2 linked regions of the Macaca mulatta genome follow. The protein of the gene in region 2 binds, or shares a complex with, the protein of the main gene of each other region. Links are inferred from orthologs where the notes say so. Each region holds a gene or a part of one and is shown on either strand. Other genes may lie near its edges.

Evidence for each region. Proteins that work in one complex are often made in the same cells at the same time.
Region 1: the proteins of YWHAG (region 2) and CASP2 are in contact, whole or in part, in a crystal structure (PDB 6S9K), measured with the Homo sapiens proteins. The link is inferred for Macaca mulatta from reciprocal best matches to the Homo sapiens genes YWHAG and CASP2. Residues at the interface, in NP_036611.2 of Homo sapiens: Glu15, Asn43, Val47, Arg57, Arg61, Lys125, Arg132, Tyr133, Pro170, Gly174, Leu177, Asn178, Val181, Glu185, Glu213, Asp214, Lys217, Asp218, Leu221, Ile222, Leu225, Asn229, Leu232, Trp233; in NP_116764.2 of Homo sapiens: Asp137, Leu138, Ser139, Leu140, Pro141, Phe142, Pro143, Val144, Cys145, Glu146, Leu150, Lys152, Lys153, Leu154, Ser157.

The regions. Positions count from the first base shown.
Region 1 is NC_133408.1:183,308,727-183,318,394, forward strand, and holds the start of CASP2 (caspase-2), read left to right. Parts: upstream 1-5,071; 5' UTR 5,072-5,302; coding exon 5,303-5,376; intron 5,377-5,966; exon of another isoform or gene 5,967-6,271; intron 6,272-8,407; coding exon 8,408-8,558; intron 8,559-9,168; coding exon 9,169-9,336; intron 9,337-9,484; coding exon 9,485-9,566; intron 9,567-9,668. Other genes in the region: TMEM139 (transmembrane protein 139), read left to right, coding at 2,745-3,082, 3,311-3,713. UniProt on the Homo sapiens protein: Is a regulator of the cascade of caspases responsible for apoptosis execution. Might function by either activating some proteins required for cell death or inactivating proteins necessary for cell survival.
Region 2 is NC_133408.1:49,992,984-50,002,551, forward strand, and holds the start of YWHAG (14-3-3 protein gamma), read left to right. Parts: upstream 1-3,058; 5' UTR 3,059-3,297; coding exon 3,298-3,384; exon of another isoform or gene 3,385-6,282; intron 6,283-8,758; exon of another isoform or gene 8,759-8,957; intron 8,958-9,568. UniProt on the Homo sapiens protein: Adapter protein implicated in the regulation of a large spectrum of both general and specialized signaling pathways. Binds to a large number of partners, usually by recognition of a phosphoserine or phosphothreonine motif.

The DNA.
Region 1 (9,668 bases), about 130 Mb from region 2:
TTAATTTGAGAAACTAATAAATGTCCATGAAATCTTCACAATTTATGTTCTTCTGCTGCGGCTTCAGCCGATCCCTCCATTCAGGGTCCCTGACTTCCCACAACAGTAGATGATTATTTTTCTTTAGCTTTTAAATATTGTCATGTTTATTTTTTAACAAATGCAATTTTTTAAAACTTGATTTTACATTACTGGAATTGAGACTGTATGAACGGCACAGCCAGTCAGCAGTCTAGCCTCTCCAGTTGGGGTCCAGTTCTTATCTATTGCACTCTCCTTCAGGCAACCAAGAGACTTAAGCTACAAAGGTCCAGACTCTCCCAGACTCTCCCCTTAAACCTCAGGCCCATACCCTTTGGCCCCGTGCGACTTAGCCTACACCTTCCCATCCCCACAACTCACTCCTTAACAAACTCCCCTTTCCTATCACACACACCAATGACCCTTGGCCAATTTCCTTCTATTCATATGTTAACTGTAGACTGAAGTCCTGATTCCAGCCGTACTTTCCCCTTATGAGCAGAACAGTGAGGAAATTGGCTGAAACAGAACAACAATCAGCTCCCTCTCACTTCCGTGCCTACTTTACATAGAGGCACACCTCATTTAGACTCCCACAGCCTTCCTGTTATGTCTCCTTCCTCTCTCTGCTATCGATCTGGGGCTATGGGACAGAGAATCTTCAATATCCCACCAGTGCCCACATATATATACCAACCACTACAGACACAGTTATCCTTATTCTCATACTGTCTCTCTCTCTCACACACACACATATATACACACACACACCCTCTCTGCTATGCTCCCCCACCCCAGCTATCCCTGGGAAGCCTAGATTGGATTTGTGCCCATGGTCTGCAGCTCCCCTCGCTCTGTCTGCTGGTCACCCTCTGAAGGAACGGGGCCCAGTCTTGTTCACCCTCTGGCTCAAGAACAAAGTATGATTCTACCCACCCTCTACCTCCAAGCACCTCCCGTACTCAGACTTAACTGCCTGACCCACAACTGAAAAGAATGGCTCCTGGATCTTCACAGGTGTGGTGAGGCCTGGTGAGAGGGGAGCCTTCTAGTCAGTGCCCCACCACGTGTCAGGACCATGTTAGTTCCAGGATTCAGAGATGATTAAAACTAATCACGCACCTTGAGAAACTCACAGTGGAAGGAAAATCAGTAAACAGAAAAATGCTACATAACCAGGTAAATGGTGGAACAGATTTAGGAAGGAACAGTGTGGATACACTGGAACAGGCTCCAAAGCGGCATCACCTCGGAGGAGGATCTTGAAGACTCAGGAGTTAACTGGGTCAAGAAGTATACACACAAACACTTCTCACAGGTCTGCAGAAAATGGGGAGTCCACAAAAATAGCACTTGGGCAATGGAAGCAGGACACACCATTCCATGCCCACAGCATTGCTTCCTGTGTGCAATGCACTGTGTGCTGATCTACAGAGATTAAAGAAGCCGAGGTCTCTGCTTCCAGTCACTTGGGAGAGAGGCACAAGGTAAATTATCAAATAGAAGGCAAACTGCCCAGGGCTGTAATTAACATACAATATGCGCTGAGAGGGAAAGGTTAATGCTAACTCTGGTCCTAAGTACAAAGATCATTGGGAGTAAGGGGTGCACTCTCATTAGGGCTCAGTAGGGGTGGGTGGAGAGAGTAAAAACCAGAACAAATCAAGGTGCAGCAGTTGGAAGTCAGCCTTAGGGAGAAAAGGGGCGGAGACTGACTGGGCCAGAACAGAGGGATTGGAAAAGAAAAAGAGGGTGGGGCCAGTGGGCTCCACCTACCCGCTCCGGCCCTTCCCCCCACCCCCACCCCATCTACTTTCTGCAGTCTGTGGAGACAGGTGAGCGACGAACTCCTGAGACAGGTGTGAGTGTGAGGGTCGGGAGGGTCATGGGATTGGGACCAAGGTGTGAGGAGGGAATCTGCAATTCCTTGCTACACAGAGCGCTGGCAACTTCTGACAGGCTGTTTTGGGGGTATGGGCTGCCTCGGGTTGTTGCTGTTACAAGGAAAAAGGGTTCCCCTGCCCACCGCCTCCCAGCCACTGGGCTAATTCCTGGCAGGAAACTTGCAAACTGAGTTTAACGAGTTAGGATCAGCAGAGGGTAGAGGAAGGCCCTGGCAGATGTGGGGTCTATCTAGAAGAGGACAGGAGTTATCAGGGTCTCTGGCCACTGTGCTGGGCCTTTGCCTGTACAATTGTTTCTCAAGCAGTCGTGTCCCTGTGGCTGTGGTGCGCCTGTGTGCACTTTCTCCCTCCACCTGGAGCATGGGCTGACACCGGAGGAAAGGAAAAGACAGAGTCAGACAGGGTAAGTGGGGGTCCCTCCCCCCTTCTCTAACAGGGCTGGATTGAGGGCCTCTGGCTGGGGAGGTTGGGGGTGGAGATCCAGGAGCAATAACAGAGGAAGGGCAGGGCCTGCCCCACCACCTGAATTCCAGAGATGCCAGTGTGCACTGAAGTCCCAGGCAAGGCGTGCCCAGGACCGGATCCTGGATGGTGGTGAGGGACAGAGCTGGAAGGGAGACTACAGGGAAGGATAAAGTAAAGAAGACAGAGCCATGACACAGTCAACTTACAGAATGGCTGAGAGTCAAGGCTCCTGGGCTGGTTTCCTGGCTATTCCACACACGCCAAGACCTAGAGAGAATTTCAGAGCTGGAGGGGACTCCACAGATTATTTGATTTGAGATTGAAGAACCTAGAAACCAAACAAGGAAATATCATATGGTTACTTTGGTATCTGACACAGCCATGACACCAATTGCTAGTGTAGACACAATAGCTATGTGTCTTTTTGCAGGAGCCTGGGGAGGGGCCATGGTGCCAATGTACTTATTGGGGAGACTGGAGAAGCCGCTTCTCCTCCTGTGCTGCGCCTCCTTCCTACTGGGGCTGGCTTTGCTGGGCATAAAGACGGACATCACCCCTGTTGCTTATTTCTTTCTCACATTGGGTGGCTTCTTCTTGTTTGCCTATCTCCTGGTCCGGTTTCTGGAATGCGGGCTTCGGTCCCAGCTCCAATCAATGCAGACTGAGAGCCCAGGGCCCTCAGGCAATGCACGGTGAGTTAAGGGGTGGGCATCAGGAGAGGAATACACCTTGGGCCCATCCTCCCTCCCTCTCTCCCTGTAGTCTCTGAGGCATAGAGTCTCTGGTTTCCTCTGTCACTGGCATCAGCGGGAGGAGGGGTCAGAGGCCAACACAGGATCTTTTGCCCGTAGCAGACAAAAAAAAGGGAAAAAGGGCTTCTTTCATGGAAGCCACCAATGGCCTTATTTCTCTTCCCTCAGGGACAATGAAGCCTTTGAAGTGCCAGCCTATGAAGAGGCCGTGGTGGGACTGGAATCCCAGAGCCGCCCCCAAGAGTTGGACCAACCACCCCCCTACAGCACTGCTGTGATACTCCCAGCACCTGAGGATGAACAACCTAGCCATCCAGAGGGGTCCAGGAGAGCCGGACTGGAACAGAGGCGAATGGCCTCAGAGACTATGGCCCAGGAAGGAAGCCCTGAAAGAACTCCAATCAGCCTTCGGCTTCGGGGACCACGGGCTGTGTCCACTGCTCCTGATCTGCAGAGCTTGGGGGCACTCCCCAGATTAGAGCCCCTGACTCCACCCCCTGCCTATGATGTCTGCTTTGGTCAACCTGATGATGATAGTGTTTTTTGTGAAGACAACTGGGCACCCCCTTAAACGACTCTCCCAAGATTTCTCTTCTCTCCACACCAGACCTCGTTCATTTGACCAACATTTTCCAGTGCCTACTATGTGTCAGAAACAGTGTTTCTGGCTGAATATCATAAATGGGGACTTGGACCCTGAGGAAAGTCAGGCCACGGTAAGCCCTTCCCAGCTGAAATGTGGGTGGCATAATTTGAGTCTTCTGGCAACATTTGGTGACCTACCCCATATCCAATATTTCCAGCGTTAAATTGAGGATGAGGTAGGGAGGTGATCCAGAGAAGGTGGAGAAGGAAGACGTAACCTCTGAGTGACGGCTATTGCTTCTGTTCCAGGCGCTGTTCGAGCTGTTAGATCCCTTAGGCTTGCCAGCTTTGTGAGTTATTATTGAAAAATGAGGATTCCAAGAGTCAGAGGAGTTTGATAACGTGCACGAGGGTACACTGCTAGTAAATAACATTAACTCCTCATCCCAAAGCCTATTGTGTTTTCAACACAAGATAATAGGAAGCCAAGCCACGTGCATGTCTCCCAATCCCTGTCTAGGGACAGCTGCTGGTGCAGGGTGGAAGACTTCCTATAAACAGAATGGGGGACCAATTGTGTCTACAGAGGGGGTGGGCTGAGCATGGGCACGCATGTCCCCAGCCTCCTGGACGAGCAAACTCAGTCAACGCTCTGGTGATCCTTGCTCCGCATGGGTAGCAGTGTCTGTGCCTCTCCTGCCCAGGTGCTAGAGAGCATTCCCCAGTGCAGGGTCCCCAATGTATTTGAAAACAGTGGAGTCAGTGGCCCTAGGTGGAGGGTGGGTATGAAGGCCAGAAAGAGTGAAACATGTGAGCTTTCTGGCCAGGAGATTCCCTCTTGAATCATCCATATGAAGCCCCGGGGCCACTTGCGAAGCGTCTCTAATAGCTTCTTCCTCACTCCTGCGCTCTGACCGCTAGACTTTCACCCCAGCCGCCGGTCCGGATTCCTGAGATCCCAATATTGAGCACCAGGTTTCCTGGAATTGTGTGCTGCGGCTGTGATGTAGGTTTCGGTCGCAGGAAGCTGCTAAACCATAGCTGACGCCCCCTCCTAAGCCAGCCTTCCTTCCCCGCGCGGGTATCTGTCCAGCACCTTGTCGCGCTCTCAGTCTCCTCCACAGCCTGGCCCCAACCGTTCAACTTCAATAAAGCAAAACTCCAGCCACACAAGTCTCCGTGAAGTTATCGCCATAGGCCGGCCAGGGGGCGGGAGAGGTACCGGGGTGATTTCCGCGGGAATCGATAACCAATCGGATTCCCAGGCCGAACGGAGCACACCCGCCCGCACTCGCTCTTTCCCCGCCCTTTGCCCCGCCCCGCTCCTTCTCCTCCCTTTGTCTTTCCGCCGAGCTCCCCACTTCACCCCATTGGCCCGCGCGGCCGCCGCTAGAGCTCTGCGCCTGCGCACGCACCGGGCGGGAGGACGCGGTGGCCTGGCGTGGGGGCGCGGCAGGGCGCAGGCGCAGGCGCAATGTGTGTCCGCGTGTGGGGGAGGGATGTGGGCGAGGCTACGGCCCCCAGTTTGTTTGGGCTGTGGGCGGTGCACAGTGCAGAGCCCGGGAAAAGCGGGAAATGGCGGCGCCGAGCGCAGGGTCTTGGTCTACCTTCAAGCACAAGGAGCTGATGGCCGCTGACAGGGGACGCAGGTAAGTAAGGAACAGTCTTAGGGCTACTAAGGGAGGGTCCAGGGAAGGGGAACGTGGGCCCCAGGCGTGCGGCCCTGCAGCCCCCTCCCCTCGGAGCCCCGGAAAGCAGCCTTGTCCGCGCTTCCTGCCAAGGGTGGGAGGCCCCGCCAAGCAGTTCCGAGCCTGACTGCGCAGGGGCCCGCGGGCGGACCTCTTGGCCTTGTCCCTCGTGGAAGAAGACTGCCCTAGCCTCCCTTTGTTCAACCCACGAGGGTTCTAAATAAGGGGAGCTCCTTGCAGTCCTGCCCACTCTTGGCTTCTCTTGAAGATTCTTCATCCTTTCCTCTGGCTCCCTTATGAGGGAGACTATAAAAAGACTGTACTCTGCCCCCTTAAAAACCGCCGAGACCTTCTGCAGACCTCGGTGCTCTGCCTGATGTGCATTTGATTTGTATCGACTGTATCGTGATCTGCATGGCTTTGCATACAATCACCAGATTTTCGAAGAAGTCAGTACAGGGTTTGGAAATTGAGTACTTTTGGCAGAACAGGGGGGTTCCTGTGGCTCCAAGTGTCCATGCCTCTGCCCCGGTCTTTCCATTTCATGGCAGGCATCACCCAGGAGAACATTGTAATGCCTCCCGCTCGAGACTGAAGATTAAGGTCTTCGCAAAGGGAACCTGCAGAAGGACACAGAATTAAGACGTAGGAACTCCCGTGGTGCCCTTCACCCCTCCTCCCCTTCCAGTTGTGTCCTGAAATTCTAAATGATTGGAAACTTTTGTAATGTTCACGTTTAAGACTCTCATACTATGGAGTAGAGGAAGGAGCGGGTGTGCAGAGTGGTTGATGCTTCAGATTAAAACTAAAGAGTTGATTGAAAATTCAAGTCTGGAACTCGAGAGAGTTAAGAACTGTTAAGTCAGTAAGTTGCAAGTATGGGTGAGATTGTCTAGGGAAAGGATCTTTGAAGGGGCGTCCCTAATGGAACATCAACATTAAGGGGAGGCCAAAGGCCCTCTAAAGAAAACAGGAATTGGGTAGGCAGAGAGAAGACTCCCAGGTGCTGTCATGGAAAAAGAGAAAGAGAACAATTTAAGGAGCGAATACTACTGGTAAACTAATGGAAGAAATCTGCTGCACCATTAGTTGGTATCCCAGCTGCAGTGTTATATGTGATCGTTATTACTGCTTTGATGTATTCGAAAGTGATTCATTCTTAAATGGATTTTTTTATTTGTATAGCTTTTTTTCTTATAGCCGGTTTTTACTGAAAGTCTGGGGTAATGGAAATATGACAGTAAAAATAAGGAAAAATGGAGTTTCAGACTCACTTTTCCAAACCTCAGATTCATTGACTGCTTCCAACCCACTTTGTCTGCTTTAGGATCCCACCTGCTATCTTAGGTCTCTCAGTTCCTCCAGGATCCTGCTCTTCCCTCTTCTAACTATAAATCTCTCACCCAATAACATCTCCAAGCCAAGTGCATCCATTCCATAGATGTGTGGTATTTCACTGATTGTAAGATACACATTTTTCCCCTCCCCTTTTTTTTTTTTTTTTAGATATAGTCTTTGCTCTGTCATCCAGGCTGGAGTGCAGTGGAATAATCTCAGCTCACTGCAACCTCCATCTCCCAGGTTCAAGCGATTCTCCTGCCTCAGCCTCCCCAGTAGCTAGGACTACAGGCATGCACCACTACACTCAGCTAATTTTTTGTATCTTTAGTAGAGACAGGGTTTCACCATGTTGGCCAGGCTGGTCTCAAACTCCTGACCTCTGGTGATCTATCCACCTCAGCCTCCCAAAGTACTGGGATTACAGGCATGAGCCACCGTGCCCGGCCTCCCTTCCTGTTTTAACACCTTAGAAATCAGGATGCATTTTAGAGTAGGTTTTGAAGTTATAAACTGAAGTTACTATATCTTCACTGCTATCAGGTGCTGCCCTTCCTGTTGTCACATATTTGGAAAATGTGACTTGGCAGGCTAGAGAACTCTGGATTTATGTAAAGTAGGCATGTAGATGACATATATTGGCAATAGGATTATTTTAGTTTATAAGCAGAAGCTGATCTCTTTGCAAGCCCGTGGCAAAATTAGCTGGAGGTGACAGCACATTCCTGTAGTCCCAACTACTTGGGAGGCTGAAGCAGGAGGATCACTTGAGTCCAGGAGTTCTGGGCTGTAGAGTGCTATGCCAGTCACGTGTCCACACTAAGTTCAGCATCAGTGTGGTGATGTCCTGGGAGCCAGGGTCCACCAGGTTGCCTAAAGAAGGGTGAACCAGCCCAGGTCAAAAGCTGGGCAAGTCAAAACTCCTGTGCTGCTCTGTAATGCGGTCATACCTGTGAAGAGCCGCTGCATTCCAGCCTGGGTGGCATAGTGAGACTCTGTCTGTTTTAAAGTAAATAGATAAGTACCTACCCACTGTGACTTTCTGTCATACTTCCTGCTTATCCACATCTTAACGGGATTCTGATAATTTCTAGTGCCATTTTGTCACTGGAACTTAAAGTTTTAAAAAAACATGTAATTATATGTTTATATCATTAGTGAAAGAGAGTTAGTGTCAGCCTCATTTATTTTCTGTTAAAGCCATTGGCTTGAGTTTTTGTCATAGCGTTGTTTTAGCCCTCATCCAAGATCATTATAAACTTCCATCACTTTCACCAGCTTAAATAATGTGAGATGATTTCTGAAATAGTTCTCTTAATTAAAATTGGTCTATCAGAGAAGTATTTCTTCTCATAAATATGTATGCTTGGGGGTATTATTTTGCTTAAGATAGACATTTCCCTCCCCTAGTCAGACCATTCATCTCAGATGATCTCAGCTGAACATAAACCATAAGGAATTAGACATTATTTTCTTATGATCAATGCGTTACTGCTTAGTACGTCTTTGATTTAACCAGATTCAATAAATATGCATAATCTTCGTTATTAGAAGTCTTATTCTTTTTCGTTCTTTCTATTCATGCCTCTTCCACTCCACTCTTCTGTGCCAAATTGTGTACTTGACAGCCTTTCCCTCTACCTTTTATCTGTAGGATATTGGGAGTGTGTGGCATGCATCCTCACCATCAGGAAACGCTAAAAAAGAACCGAGTGATGCTAGCCAAACAGCTGTTGTTGAGTGAACTGTTAGAACATCTTCTGGAGAAGGACATCATCACCTTGGAAATGAGAGAGCTCATCCAGGTATCTGGAGGCAAAAGAGAGAAGATAAATTGATCATAGGGGTGGGAACAGAGCATGACAAAATATTAAAAGGATGTCGTATCTTTATCCTTTTTTTTTTTTTTGAGACGGAGTCTCGCTCTGTCGCCCAGGCTGGAGTGCAATGGCGCGATCTTGGCTCACTGCAGCCTCTGCCTCCCAGGTTCACATGATTCTCCTGCCTCAGCATCCCAAGTAGCTGGGACTACAGGCGGGTGCCACCACACCTGGCTAATTTTTTGTATTTTTAGTAGAGATGGGGTTTCACTGTGTTAGCCAGGATGGTGTCAATCTCCTGACCTCATGATCCACCTGCTTCAGCTTCCCAAAGTGCTGGGATTACAGGTGTGAGCCACCACACCCAGCTGGATGTTGTACGTTTCTAAAGAAATGGAAATGCCCTTCTACCATAGAGCATTTGACAGAAATGATATAAATTCAAGAATAACAGGAAGGACTTCACCTAAACATATCTTTTCCTGTAAAAAGAATTATTGAGAGGAATGAGGACACTACTAGGAAGCTCATGTGGAGAAATAGAATTATAGGTAGAGAAGTAAATATGATTCCATGTTTTATTCTTGTGTCTTAGGCCAAAGTGGGCAGTTTCAGCCAGAACGTGGAACTCCTCAACTTGCTGCCTAAGAGGGGTCCCCAAGCTTTTGATGCCTTCTGTGAAGCACTGAGGGAGACCAAGCAAGGCCACCTGGAGGATATGTTGCTCACCACCCTTTCCGGGCTTCAGCATGTACTCCCACCGGTATGAAGCTTTAGTCATATGGGGTGTTGGGAAGGAAAGTTTGACTGGAAAGCAATTTGTAAGTCAGAGTGAGGGAGACTAGATTTTGTTGTATTTGGAGCGGACCACCTCCCTAAGGTCTGTCATCATGAGTTTTGATTTCTTACAGTTGAGCTGTGACCACGACTTGAGTCTCCCTTTCCCGGTGTGTGAGTCCTGTCCACTTCACAAGAAGGTCCGCCTGTCGACAGGTGAGAATTGATGGACTAAAAGGGGTCCCAGGCCAGGCGCGGTGGCTCACGCCTGTAATCCCAGCACTTTGGGAAACCGAGGCAGGTGGATCACCTGAGGTC
Region 2 (9,568 bases):
GCACAAAGACGATAGGATACTGGGAGCAAATGGGGTGGATAGGTGCTCTCCTGAGCTACTGAAGAAATGGTCTGGTGGTTAAGATAAAACACAAGTCAAATTTATTAGAGTTGTCCATAGTCAGCAATGGTGATTTTTTTTTTTTTTTTTTAAGGTGGAGTTTCGCTCTTGTCGCCCAGGCTGGAGTGCAATGGTGTGATCTCAGCTCACTGCAACCTCTGCCTCCCAGGTTCCAGTGATTCTCCTGCGTCAGCCTCCGGAGTAGCTGGGACTACAGGCACCTGCCACCACGCCCAGCTAATTTTTGTATTTTTAGTAGAGACGGAATTTCACCATGTTGGCCAGGCTGGTCTCAAACTCTGGACCTCAAGTGATCTGCCTGCCTCGGCCTCCCGAAGTGCTAGGATTACAGGCGTGAGCCACTGCACCCGGCCATAGCAATAGTGATCTTCTTGCTGGTCTTGCCATTCCTGGACCCAAAGCACTCCATGGCCTCCACAATACTCATGCTTGCTTTCGCCTTGCCGAAGACCACCATGCTTGCCATCTAACCACTCAGTCTTGGCAGTGCAGATGAAAAACTGGGAAGCGTTTGTGTTGGGTCCAGCATCTGCCATGGGCAAGATGCCAAGATCTGTATGCTTCAGGATGAGGTTTTCGTCATCGAATTTCTCCCCATAGATGGACTTGCCACCAGTGCCATTATGGTGTGTGAAGTCACCACCCTGACACATAATCCCTGGAATAATTCTGTGTAAGTAGGAACCCTTGCTGGGCGCGGTGGCTCACGCCTGTAATCCCAGCACTTTGGGAGGCTGAGGCGGAGGGATCATGAGGTCAGGAGTTCGACACCAGCCTGACTAATATGGTGAAACACCATCTCTACTAAAAATACAAAAATCAGCTGGGCGTGGTGGCGCATGCCTGTAATCCCAGGTACTCAAGAGGCTGAGGCAGGAGAATCGCTTGAACCCGGGAGGCAGAGGTTGCAGTGAGCCGAGATTGCTCCACTACACTCCAGCCTGGGCTACAGAGCGAGACTTCATCTCAAAAAAAAAAAAAAAAAAAAAAAAGAAAGAGAGTACTAGCAACCCTTATAATCAAATCCTTTCTCTCCAGTGCTCAGAAAATGAAAGTTTTCTGCTGTCTTTAGAACCTTGTCTGCTAACAGCTCTGATATGTTAACATGGCTTTATGGTTTGCAGAGGTCACTTCTTGGCTTCTTGGTTTCCAGGCCCCTAACCTTGAAGGAGACGCAGCCCGAGGGCTTGACCATAATGTCAAAGAACACGATGAGATTGACCATGGCCAGCAGTAGAGTACTCCTGGCGGCAGCAGCGTCTGCAAAGCTCACTTTTTTTTTTTTTAATATGGATTTTCGCTGTTGTTGCCCAGGCTGGAGTGCAATGGCACCATCTCAGCTCACTGCAACCCCCGTCTCCCAGGTTCAAGCGATTCTCCTGCCTCAGCCTCCCCAGTAGCTGGGATTACAGGCGCTCAGCTAATTTTTGTATTTTTAGTAGAGATGGGGTTTCGCCACATTAGCCAGGCTGGTCTTGAACTCCCGACCTCAGATGATCCACCCGCTTCGGCCTCCCAAAGTGTTGGGATTACAGGTGTGAGTCACCAAGACCAGCCAAAGCTCATTTCCTTTTTTTTTTTTTTTTTTTGAGATGGAGTCTCGCTCTGTCACCCATGCTGGAGTGCAGTGGCACGATCTCAGCTCACTGCAACCTCAAAGCTCACGTCTTATTGACTTCTAGCATACTGTACATATCTTGCCTATTTTCTTGGGAAGGGATTTTTTTCTGTTTTGTTCACTACTGTACCTTGTGGCTTAGAATAGGGCTTGGAACACAGTAGCTTCTCACAGATAATTGTTGAATACATAAAGTAAATAAAATGTGTAGTCAAAACTATGGGGCCTGCAGGCATGGTGGCTCACATCTGTAATCCCAGCACTTTGGGAGGCCGAGGCGTGAGGATCGCTCGAGCCCAGGAGTTCGAGACTAGCATGGGCAACAAAGCTAGACCCTCGTCTCTACAAAAAACAAAACAAAGCAAAAAAACCTAGTCTATCTTTAAGCTACGTGGAATAATATGAACGAGAATATATCAGCGTGACCTCAGTAGGTACGTATGCCTAGGAGGGGAGAGAAGGGCTGGACAACTAAGCCCCAGACACAGCCCGTTAAGGCGTGGAGTAGGCTCCTGGTAGCTGAACTGAATCTTTAGCACTCCACCCTGGAGAGGAAGAAGGGGTTCTCCAGGGTCAGCCAGCAGGCAGCTGCATCCTTTCTGGAAACCAACCAGTGTGGCCAGCCGGTATTTGTCGTTCGTCCTTGTTTTCACCTAGTCAGGCCCAAGAGCCTCAAGGTGGGGTGGGGGGTTAGTGGAAGCTCGTAGGGGGAGGAGGTGACAGTCCCCCGAGTCTGGCCCCTTAATTCAGCCATCCCGCGGGCAGGCACCACACTGAGAGTCTGGATCTACAAAGGACGCGCCTCCTATCCTTCCCCCACCACGACCTGCTACGTGATCTCGGAAACAGGGTCTAGGACTGAGGCCCCTGCCCCCTCCTCTCGTAATTTCCCGGAGAATATGGGGCGGGGCGGTGAATCAGCACTCGCAGGGACTGATGCAGCCCTGATCCCCGCCAGGGGTCCCCAGCGGCCTCGGGATTCGAACCACCCCCCCAGTCCTCCTGCGCCTGCGCGCTACCTCCGCTGGGAGTTGTAGTCTTGACCGCCCCTTTGTCCTCGGTCTTCTCAACGCCTCGGCCCACGGCAGGTTACACTACAACTCCCAAGGGCCCATGCGTCGGAGGCCTGGCGGGGCGGGGGGCTGAAGGGAGAGGGATAAGGGGGCGTCTGGAGAAGCTGGGGTGAGGGAACTGAGGAGTGAAGTGAATAAAGAGGAGAGTGGGGGCGCAGTGGGAAAGGACGTGGTGCCCGGAAGACGCGCAGTGAGCCGAGTTGGGGAGCGGGGAGCTCTAGCCGCGGCCGGGCCCGGGCGGGGCCTGGGCGGGGCTTGCGGACGAGCGGGCGGGGCCTGCCTGCGTCATGCGGCGTGGGCGGGGCCGCAGGGGGTTGTCCGTCCGTGGCACGCACAGCAGCCGCAGCCGCCTCGCTCCCGGTCCCGCGGTCGCAGCTCCAGCCGCCTCCTCCGCGCAGCCGCCGCCTCAGCCGCTCGCTCCGTGGGTCGGTCCTCTCCGGCACTTGGGCTCCAATCGCGCCCTCCAAGCCCTTCACGCCACCCCAGTGTCCTCCTCCTTCTCCGGCCAGACCCAGCTCCGCGAAGATGGTGGACCGCGAGCAACTGGTGCAGAAAGCCCGGCTGGCCGAGCAGGCGGAGCGCTACGACGACATGGCCGCGGCCATGAAGAACGTGAGTGTCTCCTCCCCTCCCCCGCCGCTCCCTGCCCCTCCGAAGACGCGGTCCTTGGCGTGGAAGGCCCGGGGCTTCGTCGCCCTGTCGCGATGGTGGGGTGACCGCCCCGTCTCGCTCACTGAGGGGGGCCGGGGAGGGTCCCCAGAGCCGACGGGAACACGGGCTGTGACGCGGCCTCTCCTCGGCGTCCCCGGGGCCCCGCGGCGCGGCCTCTCTGGCCCGGCGCGGGCGCGGGGCGGGGCGGGGTCCTGCGGGGCTGGACTTGGGAGCGGGGTCTCCGGTCCCAGCGGCTCTAGGGGTACAGGGGATCCGAGCGGGGAGGCGTGCGCATCCTTTGTGCCCCACTTCCCCCCTCCTCCCAGCCCGGGCGTGGGGGCGGGGGACCGCATGGATGCGGTTCCTCTTTCTCTCCCTGGTGTCTGGGCGGCGCCTTTCCCATTCACTCAGCAGGTCTCCCGGTTTTCCACCTCCCCAGCCCCCCCAAAATCTTCCCCACTGTCTGTCCCGACAGATCCCTGTGAATCTTCCCAGAAACATTGTATAGGGTCTCTTGAAAACCTGAGCTCCGTGGCGCAAAATCGAAACCACCTTGCTCACGTTTTTCTTAACAAAAGGCTCTTCTTTCTCCATTCCCCCAAAGCAAGTCCTCCGGCTTTTAGGAAGGGGGAACGTTTGTCTCGCTAGCGTTTTCGTTGATCGTTTTCAACATGTCATCTCCATTTTATTCCCTAATGTTTTTGTATTGAAAAGGGTAGGTATTGCCTGTAAAATAAAAGGTGGTGAATGTAGCTGACTGGTTCGATCCGTGTGACATATGCCGTTTCTTTTTTGAATACAGGCACGCGTCTGTGAAATTCCTATAAGTTGGGGGAAAAAATATTCTGTCTGATCTGATAGTGCAAACAAAGCGGTGGTGAGAGGCAGTATCAAGTCATTCCAGAAGATTCTGCATTTGTCATATTGCAGAGAGCCTAGACTGGGTGGAGGCTGGGAGGAGTTATTTTAAAGGGGAAAAAGTCTTTTTAAAAATTTTTGGTCGTTAGATGCATCTGAGGCTTTTTTTTTTTTTTTTTTTTTTTTTTAAAGCGAGTACGTCTTCATGCTGATGAAAAGAGAATACTGATCTCCAGTTGTCGCATTTTGTCTGGGTTGCAGATTCCTCCCTGTATTGCACCATTTTGTCAGTAACACTACATTTATCTAATGGGCTGTCAACCAGTTTGATATTAGAGGAGGGGGAAGTATTGAACATTATGAAATGAAAGGTAGAAAATTAATGATTTCGGGCCCCCACTATCTTAATATTTAATTTCCTGCCTTATGTAACAAAGGTTTTTCAAATGCATCTCCATTGTAAAGTGGATGCTGGAGTGTACCTTGCATGTTACATCTTTTAAATGAAGCATTATTGATATTACAGATCAATTCTTGAATAACTTTACTGGTTCTCAAAAGAGGACAATGCTGATACCTTTACATTTAAACCAGGTATTTTAACAAAGAAATGTTTTTGTCTTATTAAAGAAGAGAACCGGTTCTGAAATTCGGAATACTGCTATGGCCACAGCTGCTGTCTTACAAGGTTTTAATGCTCAAATGATGTAAGTTGCACTTCTAATGGGTATCAGTATTGGAAATATCTTCAGTTCGTGTTATTTAATTTAGACTCTTCTAATTTTTCCGTATTTCTAGTTCCACAGGAAAGCGAGTGACCTCGCACCTATATCTATAGCAACCAAGTGATGTCACACACAATGACACAGAGGCTGCAATGCACCTAAGGGCTGGTAGGGAGTGTGCAAATGGCATTTATCCAAGGTAATGCAGAAATTAGCCGATAAGCCAGGTGGAATCGAGCACTTCATATTCCACCAGATAAGAATTAGTCCAAAAAATAAGGATTTCATTTACCCTTAAACATGCAGATCCCTGACCTCTAGCTAGGCCTTGTTCACCCTATTGCTAGCTTTCTCACAAAAGTTTATAAGATGCTTTTTTTATATTTTTAAACATTCATCTCACTTATTTAAAATACTGGGCAATAATGGAATAAAAGTAGAAATTTTAAACGATAATATATTTTATGGAATGAAAGTAGAAATTTTAAACAAGAATATAGTTTACGATAATAGTGCAGAGATGAGATGTGTACTTGTGTTTATTTCAGATAATGAATTTGGCAGGTTTTAATAAAAACCTTAAAAAAATGATGACTTTCTACTGAGTCATTTTCAGTTACTGTTAGGGAATGAGAACCAGTTCCAAAACCTTTTAAATCGAGGTTTGGGAAGTTTGTTTTTTACTAGATTTGTGCTTCTGCTCCTTCACAGTATAGAGGAAAGAACAGTTTGTAAAATAAAAACCTTTTTTCAACTCTGTTTCCTGTGACTTTAAGGAAATAGGCCCTGTCCCTCATTTTCCTCATCTATAAAATGGGACAGTACTTGAAAAAGTTGTGCGGATTCAATAAGAAATGTAGTAGGTGTTCCCAAATGGCAACTACCTAAGAAATTGTCTTCCTGTTTATAAAAGTCATCATGGAGAATTTGGAAACTGCAGAGAAAGAACCCAGTCTTACCACTCAAGTGAGCTCTCTTTTAAGGCCGAAATCATCCTGTTGATGGATTAAAATTTATTTGAGTTTAATGAAATTATCCTAGTGCTAACACTATTGGAATCTGTGCAGAATGATAGTTCTGTGTGGGCAACCAGGACAGAAATACTGTATTATCCAGTATTTTGAAAAGAAGGAAAGAGGAATGTTAGGTCTTTTAAGACACTTGTTTAGTCTTGTATTGAAGGAGATTGAATACCTAGATGTATCCTATGTATTAGACAATATTGTCTTGTCCTTTGACTTTTAATAGTCTCTTGAGAAGTTAATATTTTAAGTAGGCTACTGGTACTTGCCTCGGGGGGAGAAAAGGTTCAGGGCTACTAATTTTGTTGAAGTTACTGGGTTAAGCAGTTTAATTCAGTGAGGGGTGGTGGGGGCAAAGGTGGCAAAAGGCTATCATAATTTTTCTAAATCTTCCTAGTGGGATCAGTAGACTTTCAAATTCTTACTATCTTAAATATTCCATTCCCTAGCCACCCCCCCCGCCCAGCTTTTCCAGGAGATCAATAGCCATTATCACTAATGGAGTAATGGTACCTCTGTAGACTCTTCAGAGGTGGAGTTCTGCCAACCATTATTCTGAGTCATGTGGCTTGAATTGTTCTCTTCTTGAGGGAAAGAATACAGATCATACAGCTTGCTATTCATGTGTTAGCCTTCACAGTAACTGAAGCAGATATTACGTATTTTTCCGATTATTTTGGAAATCTCCTATGTGTCTTTTGAATTCTACTGAGATTCAACATGGTGCTAAATGTTCATCCTCATTGCAGTCCTGGATTAACTGCAGACCTTGGGTAGGAGTTCATCTCTTATATTCAGGGAAGCCTTATTTATTAAGCCACTCTCTGAATTATTGAAAAGAGTGAAGAAAACGTTGTGTTTTTATTGAGGTAGAAGTTGCATAACATAACTTTAACATAGTCACATCACATTTCAAATGTGCCGTTGAGTGGCATTGGGTACATTCAGTGTTTTGCAGCCATCACCTATGTTCAAGAAAGGAGAAAGTGGTTACTTTTAAAAAGTGATGCCGCTCTGGCCTACAGCTGGCTGGAATTCAGCACGCCATTACCGATTCAGGAATGTGTCGATAATGGAGTGCCCACAACAGCTCACAGCCAGCGATAATTGTCTATCCCTTTGTCTTCGTTTACAAGCCTCTGAACTGAAAAAAGGGAATTAGCTTTAGTTAAGTTTTGTACCGTATTCCCACTTAAAAAGTTATGGAACTTGAACACCGTATAATGTTCACCCAAATAAATAAGAACAATTTACTTGAAGTCTGAGCAAATCATTACCTCTTTGGGGATTATGGAAATTTTGCTGGTGTTCTTGTGACTCGTTTTCAGCCCCAAGGCTGGCTTTATTATCAGTGATTTGCCGCCTGTGTGGTGGTGGTTTCCTAATGAGCAGGATGCAGGACTGAGACTGGGGAGTTCCTGCAGCTTGAGGCTGTCAACTGATGGGACACCAGCCCAAGACATTCAGTACATCATTGTGACTGTCAGCAGCTGGATGGGAAAAGTACCGTTACTTTTCCCTTCTTTGCCCACTGCTAAGATCACCGGTCCTAACCTTTTTTTTTTTTTTTTTTTTTTTTGGAGAGAGTCTTGCTGTCACCCATGCTGGAGTGCAGTGGGCAGTGGTGTGATATCTGGGCTCACTGCAACCTCTGCCTCCCAAGTTAAAGTGATTCTCCTGCCTCAGCCTCCCAAGTAGCTGGGATTACAGGCAAACATCAGTCACCACGGCCAGTTAATTTTTGTATTTTTAGTAGTGACAGGGTTTCATCATGTTGTCCAGGCTGGGCTCGAACTTCTGACCTCAGGATCTACCCACCTCGGCCTCCCAAAGTGCTGGGATTACAGGCGTGCCCAGCCTCAAAAGGGAAATATCACTTTTAAATGATATAAAACATTACCTTCTCTTTGCCTTCTTTTTAGAGCTATTTAGGGTTTACCAGATATTCCAGTCTATAATTATGTGTGCGTTTGATTGCTTGGTTTTGTTTGTTTTTTTGAGACAAGGTCTCAATCTGTCACCCAGGCTGGAGCATGGTTCACTGCAGCCTCCACCTCACAGGCTAAAGTGATCCTCCAGCTCCAGCCACGCAAGTAGTTGGGACTACAGGTGCATGCCACCACACCCGACTATTTTTTTGTATTTTTTTTTTTTTTTGTAGAGACGGGGTGTTGCCATGTTGTCCAGGCTGGTCTTGAGCTCCTGGACTAAAGCAATCTGCCCATCTTGGCCTCCCAAAGTGCTGGGATTACAGGTGTGAGCCACCACACCCAGCCCAGTCTATAATTATAAAGCAGCTAAATGTTGCCTTTCTACAAAGGCTACCAAATACCAGCTGCCTTCCGGCCTCTCTCAGAATCATTTTTTTGTATCTTCCCCAAATTCCATTTTAGGTGTCAGCTATTATTTTGCTTAACTACCAAACCATGTTATTTTACTTAAAATTGTCATTTGTAGAAACTTTGAAATTTTTGATATTTTGCTAAATGAATTTATGAATTTGAGTGGTAGAAATTTAGTTACACGAAAACTGATTTTAAAAAATTCCCTGCGTTGGGCACGGTGGCTCACGCCTGTAATCCCAGCACTTTTGGGAGGCCGAGGCGGGCTGATTGTGAGGTCAGGAGTTCGAAACCAGCCTGACCAACATGGTGAAACTTGTCTCTACTAAAAATACAAAAAATGGGCTGGGCATGGTGGCGCTCACCTGTAATCCCAGCCACTTGGGAGGCTGAGGCTGGAGAATTACTTGAACCTGGGAGGCGGAGGTTGCAGGGAGTTGAGATTGCACCATTGCACTCCAGCCTGGGTGACGGAGCAAGACTCCATCTCGGAAAAAAAAAAAAATTCCCAAAAGAAAGCTTTAATTTTAAGGTAAATAGTTATAAATAATTGGTTTGCTACCATGATTTTGTAGAAAAAATAAAAATTGTAAATCTTAAAAGACTATGTGCGTGAGTCTTTTCTTTCTGTTTAAAGAACTGGTGAAGTCTTAGTTAAATTGCTGCCAGCATTTCACTTGTTAAGTGTGTGTCCTACAGAAATAGATTTTTCTTTACTTGAGTTAAATACTACTAATATGTGCTGCATGGCATTAAGTTTTGGTTGTGGGCCGGATGCAGTGGCTCACGCCTGTAATCCCAGCACTTTGAGAGGTCAAGATGGGTTGATCTCTTGAGGTCAAGACCAGCCTAGTCAACATGGTGAAACCCCATCTCTTCTAAAAATACAAAAATTAGCTGGACATGGTGGTGTGTGCCTGTAATCCCAGCTACTCAGGAGGCTGAGATAGGAGAATCACTTGAACCCAGGAGGCAGAGGTTGCAGTGATCCGAGATCACACCAGTGCACTCCAGCCTGGGTGACGGTGCGAGACTCCATCTCCAAAAAAAAAAGTTTTGGTTGTGAATAGGAAAGAGAGTGTTCTTACATATATAGATTTTTTAACGTAACATTAAAACAATAAAATTATTCCAAATAAATTCTTGGGCTTCTTAACCTTTGGAAAGGTACCTGTCTTTGGAGAGATAAAGCCCATCT